Tribolium castaneum: one gene and its partner. The protein of the gene in region 1 purifies or fractionates together with the protein of each later gene. This does not show direct contact. Links are inferred from orthologs where the notes say so. Each region holds a gene or a part of one and is shown in the gene's direction. Other genes may lie near its edges.

The links.
Region 2: the proteins of Mcm6 (region 1) and Cdc45 purify together in Drosophila melanogaster (affinity purification with western blotting; 3 studies listed by BioGRID, with this or other methods). This does not show direct contact. The link is inferred for Tribolium castaneum from reciprocal best matches to the Drosophila melanogaster genes Mcm6 and Cdc45.

Annotation. Positions count from the first base shown.
Region 1 is NC_087400.1:6,010,684-6,023,300, reverse strand, and holds the start of Mcm6 (DNA replication licensing factor Mcm6), read left to right. Parts: upstream 1-5,244; 5' UTR 5,245-5,353; coding exon 5,354-5,445; intron 5,446-5,502; coding exon 5,503-5,911; intron 5,912-5,963; coding exon 5,964-6,155; intron 6,156-6,255; coding exon 6,256-6,685; intron 6,686-9,600; coding exon 9,601-10,757; intron 10,758-10,804; coding exon 10,805-10,906; 3' UTR 10,907-12,617. Other genes in the region: uncharacterized protein LOC103313261, read left to right, coding at 2,750-2,835. UniProt on the Drosophila melanogaster protein: Acts as a component of the Mcm2-7 complex (Mcm complex) which is the putative replicative helicase essential for 'once per cell cycle' DNA replication initiation and elongation in eukaryotic cells.
Region 2 is NC_087401.1:7,771,129-7,782,000, reverse strand, and holds Cdc45 (cell division control protein 45 homolog), read left to right. Parts: upstream 1-1,232; 5' UTR 1,233-1,377; coding exon 1,378-1,428; intron 1,429-1,473; coding exon 1,474-1,833; intron 1,834-1,881; coding exon 1,882-2,058; intron 2,059-2,112; coding exon 2,113-2,468; intron 2,469-5,027; coding exon 5,028-5,232; intron 5,233-5,279; coding exon 5,280-5,471; intron 5,472-5,521; coding exon 5,522-5,721; intron 5,722-8,525; coding exon 8,526-8,602; intron 8,603-8,650; coding exon 8,651-8,718; 3' UTR 8,719-8,815; downstream 8,816-10,872. Other genes in the region: probable 18S rRNA (guanine-N(7))-methyltransferase, read right to left, coding at 215-425, 476-848, 901-938, 985-1,020; nucleoredoxin, read right to left, coding at 8,863-9,233.

The DNA of each region.
Region 1 (12,617 bases):
TCAATAATATTTTTTTGTTTGGGAGGTTTATAAAACATGTTTTGTTTAAATTAAAATTCGGAAAAATTGTGGAAAAATAATTAAAGCTGCATTACAGCAAATCGAGTATAAATTTATTCATCCCAGCGATTTTACGTCGAAAATACACGACACTACAGGGTGATTAAGTTATTAACTTCTAATGCAACTAGAGCTCTAAAATTTTGTTAACGATCTAAATCGACCATTTTGAGTTAAACTAAAATATTTTCAAAATGGCCGAGCTTTCAGAACTACAAAAATTTTAAATAGTAACCACACATTTTTATTGCATATTTGAATTCACCTTTTCAAGCTGAGTAAAATTTACCTCTTGTTGGTGTCAGTTTTTTTAAATTTTTATTTGCAAGGGTTTATCTAAAATATCACAGCCCTTGGACCTTTTGCAATAAGTGAATATTTTTTTGCATTCGATAACCGAAAGTTTGAAAAGTTTTCTAAAATTTTCATAATTGTCAGCTGTCAAAATTCATGGCTAGGATGATTTTTTCAAAATGGCTTTCAAAAAACTGCTATAATCAGTTTTTTCTAATGGAACGACCTTATTTTCTTGACGGCAATCGAAAGAATATTGATATTTATGGTGACTTTTATCAACACGTTCTATACCTATCTCTTACAGTTTTTGAAAAAAATCACAAAAAACGAATTTTACTTCGTAATTTTTATAGGTAATCAAGTAGACCTTGTAAAATGATTAATAATTGTCAAACTTCAATATTTTATTTAGTTTTTAGCTGGTTTAGTATTGAATAAGCAGTAACAAGTAACAAGAATATTTAATTATGGTTTATTATAACTAAGTGAATTATGTACAGTAACTCAGTCAGTCTGTCATCGAATTTTGAACTTCTTGAATAAAAATTGTGAACAAAAAGTATATTTCTTTTAATTAATAGCACAATTTTATCGTATTTTTCAAAAGTTTGCTTGATTAAAAATGAAAATAATGAGCCAAATTTCTGTTTTTTGCGATTATTTTAAATACTGTAAGCGGTAGATATAGAAGATGTTAACAAGAGTCAGCATAAAAATTGATGTTCTTTTAATTGTCATCGAAAAAACAAAGCCCTTTCATTTAAAAAAACTGTTTTATAACTATTTTTTAATTATCATTTTCAAAAAATCATAGTAGCCTTGAAATTTGACAGGTGACACCTTTTGAAATTTTTGTATTTGCTTTCTTTATTGTTCGAGTAGTTTTGTTTTTTAATTTTTATAGTATTATGTAATGCAAAGTTATCATAATTAGTACTTAATTTTATATTTTCTTTGCAAAAATTAGAATTTATCTGAAGTAAATGATCAAAATTGCTTTGAATAACTGTATTTTGTGTATTATTTATTTTTTTAAATTATAGTTTTGTTTTACCTCAAAAAATAATCTTTTTTTTTAAATTATTACTCGAAGGAAAATTTGTTTTTGATAAATATTACTTATAATATAAATTCCATGTTGTGAGTTAATTATTTTGGAAATTTGGCTGACAATCTCAAAAAATTTGTCACAAATTCCTTCTCTTCCAATTGGCGCTTTTAGTTTATTTGAAAAAAATTCCAAAATTTTTTATCTAAAATTTTTTTTGTGTTTTTAAAAATTAATCTTAATGAAAAATTGCAACATTAATTTGAATCCGTCAAGTTTTTTCCACACTTGAATTTATTTCGCTTATATTGGAAATTTACTATAAAAAATTATCTAAAAGAAAAACCTAAAGTAATAATTTGTTTCTTTTGAGTTAATGTCTGTTCCAAGTTCAATATTCAGTATTTGTCTAGATTTAAATAAGTGACAATTTATCAGCGTGACAGAAAAATAAAAAAAATATATTTTTAATCTCCTCTAATTCATTCTCAAAACTGGGATCTAATTGTTATTGTCGGTAACGTATTTTTAAATATATGCGCTATCTTGAAAGCAATTTATCCTTGAAAAAAATATATTTAACTTTAAAAAAACACAGGTGTCGTAAAAGTAAAATAAATAAATCACTCTGATTTCACTAAAATAATGCAATTTAACGTAAGTATTTATTTTAACAATTTATATCGGTTCCAAACTGCTATGGAAGTGCGCTTGAAAAAATTCTAAAGTTTTACCAATGTATACACTTGAAAAAGTACTACTAACTGATTTTTTACCATATGCTACTTATTTATTTCAGTTATGATCAAATATACAGTGTGAGTCAATAGTGTTTTTTTTAACTCCTATAAATATGCAATCATTAATACCGATTTCAACTGTCCAGATCGATAGTCGTTAAAAAAAATAAATTTGATCTAAAATTACATTGTTCTAGGTAGTTTTAAGTTTGTCCTGACAGTTTTGCTAAAATTTCATTATGGATTATTATTATTAAAAAAAAGAAACTAGTGACGATTTAATTAATTCCAAGTGGTAAGTGCAATTAGTATTTTTGGTTGCATCTTAGGACACATCAGAAGTAACCTACTATTGACTCACCCTGTAGTTAAAGTTTTGAAACAAAAAAATGAAAATATGTGGGGAATGTTTTGCTCAAATCCATAATTCACAATTTTTATATTTTATCGGAACCGAAATAGTACCTTGTTTATGAAACATCCTTCCTTATGCAATATTTTAATATTTATTGGTCGTTCGTTACAGTTACGTATGCATTACACCCAGCAAATTTAACACCTTGTTGACAATATTTTTTATGACTTTGCCAAATGCTTGTTTCAGTTCGCAAAGAAAATGAAGAACTAATGAACTCCTTCGACGACCCAAACCACCTTCAAAACTTAACCGTCCCTGTCGCTTTGAAATGAGAAACTTTCTGCCGACCCCGACTTTTCGACCCATTGCCACCGAAATATCAAAAAAAAAAGACTGAACACACCCGTCAAAAGCTCAAAGTCCCTTTCGCTCTTTGTCAGTTTGTTTAGAATCTGTGTTAAATGAATATCAGCTCAATGGTCATAAGAAGTCCCGCAGTTCATCGCCGATTTGAGCGCTCAGTCTTGTCAATTAGATCACTTTCGACGGTGAAAAATCGGACTTCTTAAGTGTATATTTAGTGTTAGGTAGTTGAAAAAACAAACATTTTTATATAAAGTGCGAAGTGAAAATAGTCGTTTGATGAATGTTAGGTTTATTTAGTAAGTCATGGCAGGGTATATTCGAAGACTAACTGTTTGAACTAAGCAATTAGGCGAAAATAGATCACACTGAGGGATTCCTACATCATCAATTTTGTTCCACCCTGTAATCAAACAATTAAGACAATCAAACTAATCAAACTATATTTGAAATTGGCGCCGTGTGACGCACACGCATCCTAAATGATTTACTAAAAACTTACTACTTAAAAAAATATTAAATTATACTTAGATTCATGAATGTGATACCTAAACCCTCCATATCGCACAATGTCACATATTTATGGGTCTAGTGAGTTGTTGACGTAATATTAATAAAATTATCAACGTTGTTTGTAAGTAGACAATCAAAATTAAGGTTCAGATATATTTGTATGTTGTTCGAGCAATGTTGTATCAATAAATAACAATAACACGAGGACTATGTTTAATAATTATTTACAATAGGATTTGTTAACATTTTTAATGTAACTCAGTGTAAAGTTTATTAAATAAAGGTTTACCAAAACGTGCCTGTTTTAATTATTTATACAGAGTGTCCGTTTTTCGACCTCCATCTGTTATTATAAGAATACGAGGTTTATAATTATTATTAATTTTTTTATAATTAAACAAAACAGAAATTTTTAATTTTAATTTTTTCAAGGGAAAGCTAAAAACTAGACGTTTTTAAATAGGAAGTTCCAAGGCGTTCTTCCTGACTGCGTTTCAAACACTCAACTTTGGTTTTTCTTGGAAAGGTATATTCGATTTTTGTATTTTTGAAAAGTCTTTTTATTTCTGATTACAACGATGTATCACATGATATGATCGAATTTTACATGGTGATCAAAATGGAGAAAAAAAGCTTTTTTGCGAAGAGTGCTTTGGGGAAGACGTCAACAATTTTGTTTTTAAGCTAACTAGATTTTAGAGGTTTAATTCAATTTGGATCTGAAAGTTTCACATTTCCGCCAAGCTTACTTATTTAAAAACTAAGACATGATAAGCTACAATTTTACTCCTAAAGTTATAAATACTTTGCTCGCATGTTTGATAGAACTGTCAAAATATAGTTTGTTAAACATCATTCTTGACGTTTTTTCCAAAGCACTCTTTGCAAAAACGCTTTTTTCTTAATTTTAATTATCATGTAAGATTCATTCATATTATGTAATACATCGTTGTAATCAGGAATAAAAAAAACTTTTCACAAATACAAATGTTAAAAATGGTGTTTATAAGAAAAATCAAAGCAATTGGCTTTGAGAAAATCGCAAAATTACCACTAGTTTTTTAGAGTTATAATTTTTTTAATTTTATCTATTTCTGCCTTTATTTGGAATTTTCTTGAAAATTATTAGCCAAAGAACAATGTTTTTTTTTTAAAAGATAGATAATTGTAAGAGCTTTCCAACGCTAATAAACTTCCATAAGGTTATCTCGAATAGTTCGAAAGTTACTACATGAAAAATATTTTCGTTTTCCGACAAAAATCTCGAAAAAATGGGAAAAAAACTTTAAAATATCGAACCTATTGACTTTTTTGTACTTTCAACAACTCCGTGGGTTATGTAAAGGCATAGAAAAGTTTATAAAATTTTGCTAGTGAGTTAATTTTTTTTAATTTTTGAAAAGGTAAGTGCCTCGATTATTAAATTTTAAGCAGAAAATTTCAAAATATTGTGAAAAGCTGGTAGAATACATAAAACCAGCCGTAGAATTCACTGAATCAAACCGTTTTGCTATACGACTTTTGTCTTTATGATCAAAATCCAGAACAGCTTTGAATTTTGACGAAAAAATAGATTATTGTAAGCGATATCTGATTTTGCTCTAGATTTTATAAAAAAAAAGCAAAAAAAAGTTTCCCATTTTCATTTTTTTAATAAGCGTTTTTTTCCTTCGTGATTGATAAATTAGTGCAAACTGAGAGAAAGAAATGTAATCTAAATAGATAATTACCGTTCGAAATTCTTGAATATTTATGATAGAGTGGCGGTTTCAGACCATAAGTTAAATTTTCCGCTAATTTGGTAGTTTGAAAAACATTTCGCTAGAGGCCGCTTTGTTAGTTACTTCCATCGGTAACAGAGATACCCGTCTGGCGGGTAAAAATGTATGGTTATGTTCGTAGTCACTTTCCCGCCTTTTTTGCGTTATTGTTTACTCTGTTTTTCCCGAATTTTTCGTTCTAAATCGCTAAAACATGGATGTAGCCAACGTCCAGGTCGGCCAGAGGCAACACCAGGATGAAATCGGTGTCAGGTGCCAGAAATTATTCCAGGATTTCTTAGAAGAGTAAGTACCCCCTTACCAACCCCCCAATTGGTATTATCACACATGAGGCGCCCCCAGATTTAAAGAGGACGGCGAAATCAAGTATTTGGAGCCGGCTAAGGAGCTCCTCAACCAAGAGCGCAGCACTATTGAAGTCAGTTTTGAAGATTTAGAGAAATATAACCAAAATCTTGCAACGACCGTTATCGAGGAGTATTACCGGATTTACCCTTATCTTTGCCAAGCCGTCTCTAATTTCGTTAAAGACCGCAGCGATTTGAAAAAAGATAAAGAGTGTTATATCAGCTTTGTTGATGTTCCAACAAGACACAAAGTACGAGAATTGAAAACTGAGAAAGTTGGGACTTTGATTCGGATCTCAGGACAGGTTATCAGGACTCACCCTGTACACCCTGAACTGATTTTGGGGACTTTCGTCTGTTTGGATTGCCAAACTGTCATTAAAGATGTTGAGCAACAATTTAAGGTAGATTTTTTTGTTTTTGTTTTAAGAGCTGTTTATTAATCTAAATTCACAGTTTACTAATCCGACGATTTGTCGCAACCCTGTTTGCAATAACAGGAGACGCTTTATGCTAGATGTGGACAAGTCCCTATTTGTGGACTTCCAGAAAGTCCGGATACAGGAAACTCAAGCCGAGTTGCCAAGGGGGTGCATTCCGAGGTGTGTTGAGGTGATTTTAAGAGCCGAAAATGTGGAAACAGTCCAGGTAACAATTTTTCACCAAAAAATAAGTTGGCTACATTGATGGTCATGTCAGTCATTGTAGCCAACTTAATTTCATGTTACTAAACAAATGATTGAAAAAGGCCGGCGATCGTTATGACTTCACGGGGACTCTCATCGTGGTCCCGGACGTGGGGGCTTTGGCTCTTCCTGGGGCGAAGGCTCAGATCAACTCGCGTCACAAGGGTGGTGACGATACTGAAGGGGTTAGGGGTCTCAAAGCCCTAGGAGTGCGTGATCTTCATTACAGAATGGCGTTTCTCGCGTGTAGTGTTCAGCCCACTAACCCCAAATTTGGGGGTATTGAGATGCCTCTTAATGAGATTACTCCCGAAATTATGCGACAGCAGATGACAGAGGGCGAGTGGAATCACATGTATGAGATGAGCCACGACAGGAATTTGTATCAGAATCTCATCAATAGTTTATTTCCGAGTATTCACGGGAATGAGGAGGTCAAAAGGGGGATACTTTTGATGCTGTTTGGGGGAGTTTCCAAGACGACAGTTGAAGGTTGGTTTATTGCTAACTTTGTTCTAATCTGACTTGTCTTTATATCTTATGGACGCTAAGTGTTATTTCTTTTGCTAGAAAATTCTGAAAAAAATTAAATAACATTTACTATTTCTGTTGTTCTGAATGCAAAAAACTAGGAACAAAACAAGTCGAAACAACTCATTTCACAGATTATTTTTGCATAAGTTGAGGATTTTTTTATTAAGGGCAACAGTCCTTAAAAAATAAAAGAAGTCGCAGAAACTGTTGTCAACAAGTACAAAATTAAAACTTGTTCTTTTTGTTTCTATCAACAGAAAAGGACCAATTATTAAAAAAGACAGATTATTGTGAAAAAATTGGATTTTTTTTTAAATATCAACGATTCTTATTGAATAATATGTTAAATAAAAAAATAAGTTGAAAATTAAATTTTACAGCATTTTTGCAAGATTTTGTAACATTTTTACTTAACATTTCGCTAATATGTGAAATAAAATCAATAAAAAAAAAGACCAGTTATTAAATGAATGCTAGACTGCAGTTATTCCTGTAAGGAAAGTGGTTGTGTTACAAATATCACGTTGCATCTTAAATAAATACATATTTTTGCGCCTGTAAATGCAACCAGCAATACATCTAATATAAAGACTGCTCTAAATTTGTCAAATTGATATAATAATGAACTAAATAAGAATGAGGTAAAAAATGTTTATTAGAAAATGTAACGAATAGAGGAATTATTGGTTTTGAAATCAAATACAACACAAAAATCAATTTTTCTCACTTAACGGTAAATAACAAAAAAAAATACACTTACCTTTGTAGCATCTTTTTCTGTTGCAGTTTGTAGCAAGACATTAAAAATAAATTAAAAACAAAATAAACGCAAAAATGAGAAAACGAAATAATTATAATTCTGAATTAAACTAATTTGAATTAAGTTGACATTTATTTAACTTTAACTTTTCTAAAAATACTATTGCAGTATTCTATTTCATTAGCACACACTAACCGAAATCGGCACGCACTTTTCAACGATTTTGAAATTTTTAAACCGCAAAATTCTTTATTTATGTTATGAGGCGTCTGCATGCCACGACATCAAGTAACAAACTGAATAAGATTAAACGGCACAATAATAATTGTATAAAAATATGGATACAACGTTACAAAAAAAATCTGTGATATAAGAATTGTTACAAAGTGGGAAACAAACTGATTCATTGATCTTTATTACGATTACGTCATGTAACGTATTTTTGAATCGCTGAAATTCATTTCTGAAGCAAATAATTTCAGTCAACAGTTCGTAATTTCGTTATTCTGAAAAATACACTATTACAGAACCACCTCTAAGGAGAATTCTATCATTTGTAGTGTATTGAGACAAAATTCTATTTGTGCTTTCTGGAAATATTATGTCACGAAATTTTTTGGCTTTAAATATTTTTAACGATATTCTAGAATATTTGATAGGTTACTTAATAATGTCCGTTAATGCATCTTTACAAAAAGTAAATGTGTAATAGGTGGAAACTAATCACCAAAGAAACAAATATACAGGGTGTCCCAAGTTTTTTGGTCCGCGCAAAAATAAATATTTCTAGTTGAGTAAAAAATGATATTAATATGCCAAACGATGGAAAATTAATTACGCTGCAATATGATGATATGGTGTAGACTCACCTTACACAGGGTGGTGCATTTTCTACGTCCTAACTAAAGAGGTTTACAAAAAAAATGAGTGACATAATGTTATCAGCGCTTTTTTTTAATCACTCGTTTAGCTGTAATAACATAAAGTATTTTTTTAAATGAGAATCATAGTTGGCTATGACATTTTCGAAAAGCTTATTTTCTCCTGAACTGGAAACAATATAAATATAGTTTAATATTTTTATATATTTTCGATAAAAATTATATTTAAAATATTTGCAAGTAGTTGGCCATGGAAAAATTATTTCACACAAAAGGTGTGAATAATCTAGAAATTTTGTGGACGCTTATTAAAGTAAAACATGTGAAATTATCAAAATAAGCTATGTTAAAGTTAATTTCAATTAAACAAATATACGATCATCGCAGATTTTAATTACATAAAAAAGTGCAGAAAATTGAAAACGATGTGTCACTACCGTTTGTTGACACTTTTTTGTGGTTTAGTGTTTTTTTACCGCAGATGGGATTTGATTTTAGGGTTTGTATTGACATTTTTGGTAAAATAAAATTTTATTAACAGGCAGTTATATAATTAATGAGATTTTTCTTTTTCCGACATTTCATGTTTAATTAGAAAATAGAATGACAATATAAGCTTGCCATTTTAAATCTAACAACAAATAATTTTTATTAATTACAAATATTTTTTTAAATTAATTAGGATTTAAAAAATCATTAAATTATAAATACTTGTTTTAATTGAAAATCCAAAATTTTTTCATGGCCTACTATAAAGAGAAAACGAAATGTTTTGTTTTTTCTTAAATATTTAAAAATAATGTGTTACACAAATAGACGTATTTAATCAGAAAAAGATAAGCTTTTCAAAAATATCACAGCCGCCTATGATTCCTATTTAAAAAATTAAACGTTATGTTATTCTAGCTAAACGAATGGTTAAAAAAATCGCTGACAGCATTATTAAATTTTCTGTAAAAAAGTGCCTGCATAATGTCTGTGTTTCATATGTGTATCTTTCATAATAAGAAAGACATGAACTTTTTAAGATTTCAATTAAAAAAAAATCATATCTTCTTTATTATAAAAGATATACATTTTTTAAATAGAAATCATAGGCGGCTGTGATATTTTTGACACCCTGTACAGCTCTAGTTCCAAAAAAAAAACTGTTTTTGTGCTGTTCTGTTTGTGCACTTGTTCGGATTTCTATTATTTTAATAAAAAATAATCACTGTTAATAATAAATTAAGGGACAACCCTTCGGGGCGACATCAACTGCTGCATAGTGGGCGACCCCAGCACTGCCAAATCGCAATTTCTGAAACAAGTTTCGGAATTTTCCCCTCGTTCTGTCTACACTTCGGGCAAAGCCTCCTCGGCTGCAGGTCTCACAGCCGCTGTGGTGCGCGATGAAGAATCCTCCGATTTTGTGATCGAAGCTGGCGCTCTAATGCTTGCCGATAATGGCGTTTGCTGTATTGACGAATTCGACAAAATGGACCCACGTGACCAGATCGCGATCCACGAAGCCATGGAACAGCAAACGATCTCATTGGCCAAAGCCGGAGTGCGGGCCACGCTTAACGCCCGCACCTCCATCCTAGCTGCAGCCAATCCCATTGGAGGGCGCTACGATCGCGCCAAGTCGCTCCAACAGAACATCGCGCTAAGTGCGCCAATCATGTCCCGATTTGATTTGTTTTTTATCCTAGTTGATGAGTGTAATGAGGTGATTGATTATGCTATTGCGCGGAAGATTGTGGATTTGCACAGTAATGTGGAGGAGGCCCTCGACCGGATTTACTCAAAAGAGGAGGTTTTGCAGTATATTTCGTTCGTGCGGAGGTTTAAGCCAATCATAAGTCCCGAGGCTGCGGAGTTGCTTGTGAGGCACTACAACCATTTGAGGTTGAGGGACACCACAACTAGTGGTAAATCAACTTGGCGGATTACAGTACGCCAACTTGAAAGTATGATCCGATTGGCGGAAGCCATGGCCAAGATGGAGATTTCCGACGAAGTCCAACCAAAACACGTCAAGGAGGCGTACCGCCTACTTAATAAATCCATCATCAGGGTGGAACAACCCGATATACACCTCGACGAAGACGCAAATGCGCCAATGGTAGAGGACGACTCGGAAACCATGACTCAGGAAACTGAGCCGCAACCAATCAGGAAGAAGTTGCAGCTGAGTTTCGAGGATTACAAAGTTTTGAGTAACAAGATCGTGGTGTTTATGCGACGGGAGGAGGCGAGGAGGGATGAGGAGAACGAGGAGGGGATCAGGAGGAGTGATTTGGTGGAGTGGTACTTGAATCTGATTGCGGAGGATATTGAGTCCGAGGAGGAGTTGTTGGAGAAGAAGGAGTTGATTGAGAAAGTTATAGACCGGTTGATTTATCACGTGAGTTGGGTGGTTTGGGGTAATGTGGTTGTGATTGGTGGTTTTAGGATCAAGTTATTATTCCCTTGACGAGGACGGGGCTTGGGAGGGATCAGCAGGAGGAGGAGGATGCCATGTTGGTGGTTCATCCCAATTATATTATCGATTGAGTGTACCTATTTTTTTTAATAAAAGTTAAGTACTAATAAGTTTTTTAATAATTTGCCCCTTTTTAAGTTTTACTCCATAATTTTGGAAAAAAACAAACGAGAATAACTTACCAAGTGTTATCATTGGTAGACTATTTTTTTCTAGTATTTTATTTTAATTGGAAAACAGTTGATAATAAAGGGCTTTTTGATTTTACTTAAGCACCCAAACAGTAGTAACAGTTATTGTTAAATAATATTGCTTTTTTAATGGAGAGTACAAGAAGTTTTTTGAAACAAATGACAAATGACTAATTTTTAAAAACATCAATTGAATCAACATTGGTTTTTTATCTTCAGAACAATGTAATTGGGGATAAATTTTGAAATTTTTAAATGAGTACCGATCTGGTCAGCTGGAATCAGTATTATTGGTTGCATATTAACAAAAATTCAGAAATAACTCATTATTGACTCACCCTGTATAAACCCCTAAGATAATAAATTGTTCTCAATTTTTTTCGGGATACTTTTAGCGCACCCTTAGATGTTATTGTATTTATTTTGAAGGTTACTTATTTAATTTTTTTTAAGGCACTTTATTGCAGCAATTTTTTTGTATAAAAGATTATGCTCTAAAAATGACTTCTAATTTAATAATATTATTTTTCAATCAGTGTTTTTTTTAATAATTGATTTACATTGTGTTCCGAGCTTACTACGACGATTTTCCGAATTTGGCCGAAGAGATTTTTGAAAAACCTTGAGCTCGGAACACAACTTTAGTAATTCATTAAAATTACACAATTTTAAAAACAAAATTATTGATTTAGAGGTGATTTTTAGAGCATAATCTTTTACCAAAAAAAATCGCCGTAGTAGGGTGCCATTTGAAAAAAATATATTTTTTTGGATAACTCAAAAACTAAACGGAATTTCGAAAAAAAATTTTCTTGAAAAGTAATCACATTTTAAAAGTAGTTGATGATGTACTAATTATTTTTTTCGTAAGGTACATAGTTTAGGCAAAAAACGCTTGGTTCCATACTTTTGCCCAACCCTGTATAATAATAATTGACAGCATAAATAAAACTTAATAATAAAACGAGCTTAATAAAATTGATATTACAGGAAGCGCTGTTTTGTCATTTAATAATAATTAAATATTTTCAACAGTTTTACCCAAGGATGGAGGATGAATTTAAAAAAAAAACGCACAAAAAAATAAAATAAAGATAATTATATCTATTCATTGATATGAAATCTGTACGTTCACGGACTGAGTGTGCCGAAGGTCAAAAAGATGTTTTTTAGCCGAAACCAAAGTTTTATATTCTTTAAAAACAGGAAAAAAAGAAATTTTGAATAAAAAACCTTAAAAACCGTATAGAATCTTTCAAAAAATGTTTTGTGTGTAAGCAAAGATGTTTTTTTGTCCTAAAAAACATGGAAAACATTCTTTTTTTTTACTTTTAAACATTTCCTGCATAAAAGCCTTTTTTAATTTTATCTTTGTCAATTATAATAGTTGACACAGATAGATCAGCTTTGATCTCATTTATACATAACCATATATTACTTAATAGCTTTTTTATCAAAAGATAAGGCCTGAAGTGTTAAAAATTGGAAGCTTTGGACATAAAGTCACGCATTATCAGATTTTTTGGTAGAATTTATTGATGTTTTTTTTTCACAAAATTATGGAAAGTTTTCGAAAAACTGTTTATATTAA
Region 2 (10,872 bases), on another chromosome or scaffold:
TTTTTTTTGGAATTGTTAGTCAATTGGACAAGTTGAAATTCCAATCTGATTTTTTATTAGTTTGTTTATTTATAAAAAAATCTCACGAGTGTTGGAGGCAAAAAGAAGCCAATATAAATCAGAAACTCTAAAAATCGCAGGTTCGAATCCTGCTGAAAACCTTTTTTTTTCCATAACCATTCCACTTTTAACCAAAATTAATTCTGTAACCCACCTTGTGATTCCTCCTCTGTCCCCAATCCCTTCGGCAACGGCATATTTCCCCCTGTCATCAAGACCAAAAAAAACTTTTTCGCTTTAGTTGAATTCGGAAAATCAACAACAACCCCGCCATAAAACCCCGCTTTCATTGCTTGTGCCGTAACCAACTCCATTTGTTCGCTATTTTCGGGATAAAACTGAAAAACGGCCCGTGCTGACCGGCTCTAGAACCCCAACATGACAAAAAACCTCTCACAATTAACCAAACACAAACCAGACACGCATAAAGACTGCTAAAAAACTTGTAAATCCTTTGAACGGGATTGTGCGACTTTTTATCAGCATTGCACAACCACTGCAACGCGCTTATGCTAATCGCGCCATCGAACGACCCGGCCCGAAAGGGGCACCCTTGCCCCATGTCTGACAACAAAACGTCCCCCTCGACCTCCCTTTCAAGGGCCACATCTAACATGGCCTTGGATATGTCCATACCGACCCAGAAGTGCCCCTGATCCTCAAGGACGCTCCCGCTAAGCCCCGACCCGCAACCTATATCAAGCAAATAACACGGCTGGTCTTCAGGCAACAAAAGGAGCTCAACTGCACGCTCACTCATCTGCATTTGAATATCAATAATTCGAGAACTAAAACGAGTCACAATGAGTAAAAATTGCAAAAAAGCGGCCGTTTCTATACTTTTGAGTGTACTTCCGGGCCTCATCTTCGTTGTAAAACTAAAAGTTAGGTTAGGTTTAGGGTCAGAATTGGGGGCGTACTTACGATTTCGGGTGGCGCCAAGTGCTCAGGACGCGACATTGGTGTTTATTTAGGACCAAAACAATAACAACACATGTGCTATCTTAGGATTAAAAAGTAATCAGAATTGAGGTTAGTTAGGGTGAAAATGACCACTAGGGAATTTGTCTGTTTTAATTTCACGAACTCCGACCCGAACGTTTGTGTAGTAATTACAATCTGCCATCTATTGTGTTACTCATGGTATTTTGGGTGATAGTAATTGAATAGCGTTCAATTCCATTCGTCTAAATAAATTAGAAACGCAAAAATAGTTTTATGTTGGTACGGCTGCCCCTCCACCTTGCCCACCAACGGTTTGTTTTGGCGCTTTGGAGGTTATGATGCCCCATTGTCGGATTTCAAATTGTGTTTAAAATGTACGTTGAGAATTTAAAATTGGATTTTTACGAATTTCTCACAGGCAAAGTAAGTCCCCCTTTTAATTGTCGCCCACTTAGCTGCCCCTTTTAGCGCATTTTGTTAATGGTCCACTACGACATCGACAGCATTTGTGCGTGTAAAATCCTCCAAAACCTCCTAAAGTACAAGGAGATTCTCTACACCCTTGCCGTAATCCGAGGCGTCGAGGACCTGAAGCGCTCGTATCGTGAAAACAGCAACGACGTTAAATATTTCGTCTTGATTAATTGTGGGGGCACTGTGAACCTAGTCGACTTGTTCGAGCCGGAAGAAGACGCGATTTTTTTCATCATCGACTCGCACAGGCCCACACATTTGGATAACATTTACAGTGACGGGCAGGTCCGGTTGTTGTGGACCTCAGAGGAGGACTTAGAAGTGCCCGACTTTCACGCAGTTTATCGTGACGATGTCAGTGGCCCCCTTCTTACGGTCGATTTTTTTATCGTGTGATTACAGAGCGATGAAGAAAGCGACGAAGAACCCGAAAGTGGGGACGAAGATGAGGGAAGAGCTGCCAAAAAACGGAGATTGAACGAAGAAGCGATTCTAAAACGACGCGAACGCAGGCTTTGGGAAGCGAAACGTTTCGATATCATTGCGGAATACTCGCAATACACGTACTACAACAAGGCTGTAAGTTTTTAGTCGATTTTGAAATTAAGTTGGTGACACTGATTTTTTCTCCAGAGCGCGATCGCGATGTTTAAACTCGCGTGGTTTTTGAATAAGGACGATAAGGACTTGCTTTGGTTGGCAATCGTGGCGCTGACAGAACAGTACATTTTAGGCAAAATTGAAAATTCGCAATATGTTCTTGCAGTTGGGGAATTACAGTCGCATTCAAACCGATTAAGGAACAGATCGAATGATACCGACGGTTTAACTTCACTTAGAATCACATATGAGAACGATTTGAAATTAGTTCTGTACAGACATTGGTCGGTTGAGTCTAGTCTTAAGTATTCAATGTTTACGGCGTGCAAATTGAAGTTGTGGTCGCATAGAGGGAGCAAGAAATTGTACGAGTTGCTGGCCGATATGGGGTAAGTAGCCGTTGATTTTTATTTATTTTTTAAACACCCTGTATATTGTGGCTTATGAGTCTTTGGATGAATCAATTGTGAAGCTATTTTTTAATGAAATTATTATTTACTCGTATAATTTCCACGGCGTTGACAGGCTCAGCTCAATTCAGCTTGCGTTTTTTTTAAGATAAACTTTGTCAGATAGGGTTTGATTGCTTGAAATACTCTGTATAAAGGAGTGTCGAGTGATTGTATTTTTTTGGACGTATTGAAGTTTAAATCAATTTGTTTGTGCAAAATTTTATTTTTTACTTAAAAAAAAATATTTAAAAAGTATACAGTGAACCTACTAAAAGTTTATTTTTACTGTATTTAAAAACTAAAAACTAATTATTATTCTTATTAGAAATTATTATTAGAAAAGTTAGTTGCAAAGCGTTTGTTTATTTCACCTAAAAAGAAACTAAAAAACTTCATTGAAACTAAAAAAAAAATTGAAAGTTTTTTCTTTATCTCTAAGGTGACCAAAGCGAGTTTATCTCAGTTAACAAGTTTAAAGTGCATTACAGGTGTGCTCTGTATACCGGGTGTTCTAAAACCGGCGCACCAACTCAGTGGTGTGTGAGACATAAGGAATTGCTTACATACAGGGTATATCAGAAATACGTGTTAATTTTACCACGTAATAAAACTCATGAAATACAGCAATACTGCAACTTAAGAAAACTCATCAAGTACAACAACTTTTCTATATCACATTTTACAAAATTCTTATTTACAATTTTCACTGTTTTCCTCTTTTCTTTAGTGCAAACGAGCCGGTCAGTGTTTAATAATTAGTTTGTATTCATAGCAGTAATTTTCATTGTTTTAAATTGTTTAAATTGTCCGTTTTTATTACAACGAAAATAGTTCGGCTCTTAAGTAAATTTGTGAATTTTTTATTGAAAATTTACAAATGAAAAGATGTTTTATTTGTTGAGTTCTGTTACCCGTTAAAATTAAGACACATATTTCTGATATACCCTGTATAAAGGTAAAAATAGTAATTTTAAATAAATGCTATGTGCCAACGTTGTCAAAAATTCTTTTCTTGTAATTCTTTGTAATAAATATTAAATAAAATATAAAATCACTATTAATTAATAATTAAAATTTTGTCATTTCTTTTACAAAAAGTATACCTAAAAATTTACTGGCCCCAAAAATAACAATTATTTTATTTTTTATTTTTTTGGGATTAACGATGTTTTTTTACACAAAACGACACTAATGCTGATTAATTCAGTTAACTAATAATTATTAATAATTGGAATAAAATTTACCGACGTTAGGACAGCTTCCATAAAAGGTTTTAATTAAAACGTCGAGTTGCAACGTTTCGTTTATATGTATAATAAACTTCATCAGGCTTAAATTATACATAAAACTACAATATCACCACAATTGATTACAAACCTTTTAATATTAATAATAAATAATAAATAGTTACTAAGTAAACGAGTTATTAAATGAACATTTAAATTTAAATTAAACCAGTTAAGAAATATTTGATTTCGGACAATTTCTTTTATTTAAGAAACATAAAATAATATAAGAAATTAAAGTTAAAAGATCGTCTTACTACCAGCTTTCAAGTCAATGATCTTCCGTAGAAACTAGTATGAAATGGTGATTTGTAGGATGCGAAATTGTGTATTATTTGTTCCATTCCACTTCACTAAATCATAAAAAAGTGTCATCAAATGGTAGTGACATATTTTTAATTTTCTTCACATTTTTTATGTAATTAAAATCTGCGACGATCGTATATTTGTTTAATTGAAAATAACTTTAACATAGCTTATTTTGATAATTTCACATTTTTTACTTTAATAACCGTTCACAAAATTTCTAGTTTATTTACACCTTCTATGTAAAATAATTTTTCCATGACCAACTACTTTTAAATATTTTAAATTTATTTTTTATCAAAAGTATGTAAAAGTATCAAACTGTATTTATATTGTTTTAAGTTCAGAAAAACATAAGCTTTTCGAAAATGTCAGCCAACTATGATTTCTATTTAAAAACATACAATTTTAAGTTATTACAGCTAAACGAAAGGTTTACAAAAATCGCTGATAACATTATTAGATTCTCTGTGCCTGTATAATGTTTTTGCTTTAAATGTGTATCTTTTATAATAAGGAAGATATGATTTTTAAAGATTTCACTAAAATGTCAACTTTTGTTTATAAATTGAAAACAAAAGACGATAGCGGGATTCGGTTTTTACCAAAATTATTTTCTCAAAAAACGGACCCGAGAATGTGTCAATATTTTTTCTCTAAACTTCTTAGTTTCGGAGATACCACATCCGAAATGCCGCACCTTGTACATAATATTTAAAATTATTTTTACTTAAAAAAATCAAGGATGTGCCAAAAAGGTAAGACATACTTAATAAGTCAAACGGCTTATAAATTATGTTTAATTTTATTTATAAAGCTCATGCTTATACTTTTCAATGATTCTCCCTTAAAAAAGATCCAAGGTGGGTGGCGGCAACAAGGTGGGCTCATTCTCAACTTGCAGGTTGCCCTTATCGCAGAGCCAGCAGGCGTTCGAATCAATGGATCTCCAACTACGTAAAGAATTCCACCAAAGTATTGAAAAATTATCGGAAAAATACAACTTAGAAGATTTAGTTTTTACCTCATTTGTGTTACAATATGGCTACCGGAATAAATATTGTGCGTCTGACATTGTGTACGCCATGTTTGCAATTTTGGAGTCATCGGTGATTTATCATTTTGATAATTCTCTCACATAAATAGCTGTTTTTAGCCGAAGGAAACGCCAGAAGAGTGTTTTAATTCGGCACTTGATTGCCTCACTCGTAATAAAAAAGACGTAGTACAAAAAGCAATAGAACGTGCAAAGATAATCACAAAGACGATTTTTAAGACTGTACAAGCGGCCATTGATATGAAACAAATTATCACAGCCGGGAATTTTGTTTATTACATCATACAAGAAGTGAGTTGAATTGTTAGTCAAGTTGTTTGATTTTAATTTTTGTTTTATAGGGTTGTTTAGACTGGTATATGTTTTCAAACCAATATATTTTGTTATTGTTGGCACAATTTATATTACGGGCTTATGTGTCAATGTCACGGAATCGTAAAGCCCCTGACTTGCCTTTAATTATTTCAGCACCAAAAAATCTAGATTTAGGGACGTGTGTTATTTTGGGGATTCCACCGCTGAGGCAAAATTCACCCAAAAAGTAACTAAACTAAACGTACAGCCGCCCAAAAAGAAAATGACGCGACCATAAACCAATCCCATCATAAATCCTTTAATTTGCTGTTTAATATGTTTTTTAAAGTAAAAGGTTTTGTTGCAAAATAATTGATTTATCGCGGAAAGAAAAAAATTAAGAAAGGATTGAGTTCGAAAATCTTAAAGCAAAGTTTTAAAGCTTCAAGTTTTCTTAAAGTTATAATTTTTCATTTCCAAAAAATTTGTGGCAATTCAATTTAAAAAAGAGATTATTTTTTGTGGGTTCGCTTTTTTGAATTCAACAACTTATAAAAATTAAACAGATACAAAATGCAGTGACAATTTAACTACTTAAATAATTTATGAATTGGAAATGGTATTGTAAATAAAATGAAATAATAATTGGGCATTTAGAACCGGTTAACTTTACAGAAAGCGAAATTAAAACTTAATTCGGAATAAAACTAATTCGACATTAAGTTGCCACTGAAAATAGATTGACAAATGTAAAGTTAATCTCAGAAAAATTTTTATTGCAATTAAAATGTTCTGTAAACCGACTCTTGAACTTATTTTGCATTAATGAACTAATAATTTAAATTTGCAAACAAATCGACAATTTTTCTGCCCTCTTAAAGGGTCAAAACGTCGTGACAAACTTGATTTTTTTTAATCTTTCATTTGTTTTAAAAAAAATTATAAATGGTTATCAGTTTGAAGAAGAATTGGAAAAATTTGGTCTTAAGTTATCTCTTGTGGTGACTGTGGTCTTGTGTAGGTGTTGTTAAATATTTCCAGTGAACCTTATTTGCAGTAATGGTCAAAATTTTAATCATGGTATTTCCATAAATGAAATACTTTAATGTTCATTGATAACTTTTTTATTCTGGTTACACTAATTGAAACATTTAATAAACAAAAATTTTAATAAAACCTTTTTTGTGGTTAATAATTAAAACGATTAAAAGTACAGACATCTTTACGTGAAATTTGAAATACAATTGTATTACTATAATTTTGTTTTCTATTTTGTTTTATGAACAATTTATGGACAGTTTTATGGATATTTTTCAACTTTTAATACAGTTAGAGCTTTAAAATTTTGTATATCATTTAAATCGACCATTCTGAGTTCAACTAAATTGGTTTCAAAATGCCAAAATGCTTTCGGAACTACAAAAAATTGACGCCAAGTTTGAAATTTTTAAATAGTAACCACACATTCTTATTGCATATCTGAATTCACCTTCTCAAGCTGAGTAAAATTTACCCAAGTTGTTGGTACTTACCTGTTATAGTTTTCGATATATGTCAATTTTTTTGTTAAAATTTTTATTTGCAAGAGTTTATCTAAGAAATCACATCCCTTGAACCCTTTGCGATAAAGTGAATAATTTTTTTGCAATTGATAACCGAAGGTTTGCAGAGCTTTCTAGAATTTTCGAAATTGTCAACTGTCAAAATTCATGGCTAGTATGATTTTTCAAAATGGTTCTCAAAAAACTGCTATTAACTCTGTTTTTTCAACTCGAACGACCCCCTTTTTTTAATGGCAATCGAAAGAATATCCATATTTATGGTGACTTTTATCAACCCGTCCTATACCTATTTCATACAGTTTTTGAAAAAAATCCCAAAAACGGATTTTACTTTTTAATTTTCATAGTTAATCAAGTAGACCAGTAAAATGGTCAATAATTGTCAAACTTCAATATTTTATTTAGTTTTTAGCTGGTTCATTATCCAATAAGCAACAAAACTGAAAAGTAACTCAGTCAGTCTGCCATCGGATTTGGAACTTCTTGAACGAAAATGGTGAACAAATCGAACATTTGTTTTAATTAATAGCACAATTTTGTCGTATTTTTCGAAAGTTTACTTGATTAAACATGAAAATAATGAGCTAAAATTCAGTTTTTTGCGATTATTTCAAAAACTGTAAGACATAGATATAGAAGATGTTAATAAAAGTCTGCATAACAATTGATGTTTTTTTTGACTGCCATCAATCATTTCATTAAAAAAACTCTTTTATAATCATTTTTTAATCATCTTTTTTAAAAAATCATATTAGCCTTGCAATTTGACAGTTGGTAATCCTAAAGACTTAAAAAGACTCTTTAAACTTTTGGCTATCAAATGCAAGATTATTCACTTATTGTAAAGGGTTCACGAGCTGTAATATTTTAAATGAACCCCCGCAAATGAAAATTTGTATAAAAAAATTGACATACGTCAAAAACTATGACAGATAAGTACTAACAACTGGGTACATGTTACTCAGTTTCAAGAAGCGAATTCAAAAATGCAATAAAAATAGGTGGTTACTATTTCAAATTTCAAAGTTGGCGCCAATTTCTTGTAGTTCCGGAAATTTTGTCATTTTGAAAATAATTTTGTTGAACTCATAATGGTCGATTGATTTAGATTGTATACAAAATCTTAAAGCTCTAGCTATATTAGAAGTTAAAAAGTTTATAATGTCGGCCCCAAAAGAATCAGCCTGTATAATTTGTAGCAGTGAGATTTTATAAATAATAATTATTTTTTAATTTAAAATATTTTTTGGACAACCGATAGCAAAGTGATCTTTCAGTCTTTAATGAAAATACTACACCGACAACAAAAAGAAATGATCTTTTTTTTAATTGTCACTTATTTTATTTTGCAACAAAAACTTTAATGAAATAAATAAATCTTCAATTTTTTTCATTAATTCGCAAAGAAATAAGGTTTTTTATGGACGCGTCGTTTTCTTTTTAGGCAGCTGTACAATTTGGTGATTTTATTTTTATATTGTGATTTTAGTAATTTAGGCCGGGCCTTTGAGGAAGCAGCTGAAAATATAAATTATGAAGTCTTGTCGGATTATTTTGACACTTCTTGTAAGTTAATTTTTTTGTTTGTTTGTCGAAAGTAGTGGATTTTTTCAGATTTTGAGATTAATATCAAGGACAGGACGAGGTTTTTTGACGCATTGACTGCACTTTTCGACAAATAAAATAGTGTAAATAATTTTTTTTATTTATTTTTCAATTGTATATAATTGTGTGAATTGACACTATTTTATAGGTAATTAAATGCTACAAAACAACAAACTGTACACTTTTGATTAACTCATCTACACTGCTACACCTTACACCACCTAACTCTGTTCCTCTCCCACTCGTTCGTTCAATTCGATGAATTTCACTTCGCCTTTTTGGAAGCGCTCGACGAAGTCGCTGACGGAGTCGACGGTGATTTCCACGCCGTACTCCATGACGGCGAAGCGTCGGTTGGGGATGTCGATGCCAACGAGGAGGGGCACCACGTCATCGAGACCGATCAAGTCGCGGAGAATGTCGCTGGTTTCGGAGTCGAGCCCGATGAGGAACTGGAGGTAGTGGTCGTCCTCGCAGTTGGAGAAGAAGTCCTCAGGGGCTGAGTTGAAGTTGATGTTGTGCTTCTTGTAGTAGGAGTCGGCGGCTGGGGACAGGACCGATTCTGCGAACTGGAGTTCGGTCTCTTCGCCGTCTGGGAAATAAAAGTTTGTAAAAAGATAAAAATAATTGTTAAAAAATTACTGTTCTTAACATACGAGTGAACATTATATACAGGATGAATCTTTTAGGGCCTACATTACAAATTTTTTAACTTCTAATATAGCTGGAGTTTAAAAATTTTGCATACGATCCAATCTGAGTTCAACTAAATATTTCCGAAGTAGTTGAGCTTTCTCATCTACAAAAAATGGCGCCAAGTTTAAAATTTTAAATAGTAACCACACATTTTTATTGCATACTTGAATTTACCCTCTCAAGCTGAGTAAAATTTACCCAAGTTGTTTGTACTTACTTATCTGTTATAGTTTTTGACATATATGTAAATTTTTTTGTTAACATTTTTTTTGCAAATGTTTATCTCAAATATCACAGCCCTTGAACCCTTTGCGATAAGTGAAGGTCTGAAGAGTCTTCTAGATTTTTCAAAATTGTCGACTGTCAAAATTCATGGCTAGTAGGATCTTTCCACAATGGTTATCAAAAAACTGCTATATCTTAATTTTTCAAATGGCACGTCCTGACTGTGACTTTTATCAATGCGTCCGATACCTATGTCTTACCGTTTTTGAAAAAATCACAAAAAACGGATTTTAGTTGGTAATTTTCATAGTTAATCAAGTAGACCTTGCAAAATGGTCAACAATTGTCAAACTTCAATATCTTATTTAGTTTTTAGGTGAGGTTCATTATCGAATAAGTAGTAAAATTATAATATTTAATTATAGTTTATTATAACTTAGTGCTGTAAAGTAACTCGCTTAGTCTGCCATTGAATTTTGAACTGTTTGAATGAAAATCGTAAACAAATTGGATATTTTTTTTTAGTTAATAGCACAATTTTATCGAATTCCTCGAAAGTTTACTTGATTAAAAATGAAAGTAATGAGCTAAAATTCTGTTTATTGCAATTATTCAAAAACTGAAAGAAATAGATATAGATGATGATAATAAAAATAAAAAAATTGATGCGCTTTTGATTGCCATTGAGGGGTCATTCCATTTGAAAAAACTGTTTTATAATTATTTTTTGAGCATCATTTTCAAAAAATCATAGTAGGCTTGTAATTTGATAGTTGGCAATCCTGAAGATTTGAGAAAACCCTTCAAACCTTTGGCTATCAATTGCAAGAAGAATTATTCCCTTATTGTAAAGGGTTCACGAGCTGTGATATTTTAAATAAACCCCTGTAAGTGAAAATTTGTATAAAAAATTGACATACGTCAAAAACTATGGCAGATAAGTACTAAGTACATTTTACTCAGTTTCAAGAGGCGAATTCAAAAATGCAATAAAAATAGGTGGTTACTATTAAAAATTTCAAAGTTGGCACCAATTTCTCGTAGTTCCGGAAAATCAGCTATTTTGAAAATAATTTATTTGAATACACGGTGACATTTGAGGAAATGAAATTCAATTGTTTCTTTGCAAAAACACTGCACAAAATTTTTATAATTTTTTTATGGGAGGGCTTTTTTATGTGGCTGTTTTTACTAATTTTAACTCAGTGTAATAGATTTTGAAGAACTAAGCTCAAAGACCAGATTGATTTAAAAATTCTTTTGGTTCCAAATTTATTCGCCGACTAAAATTCTCTATATCTCAGATATTT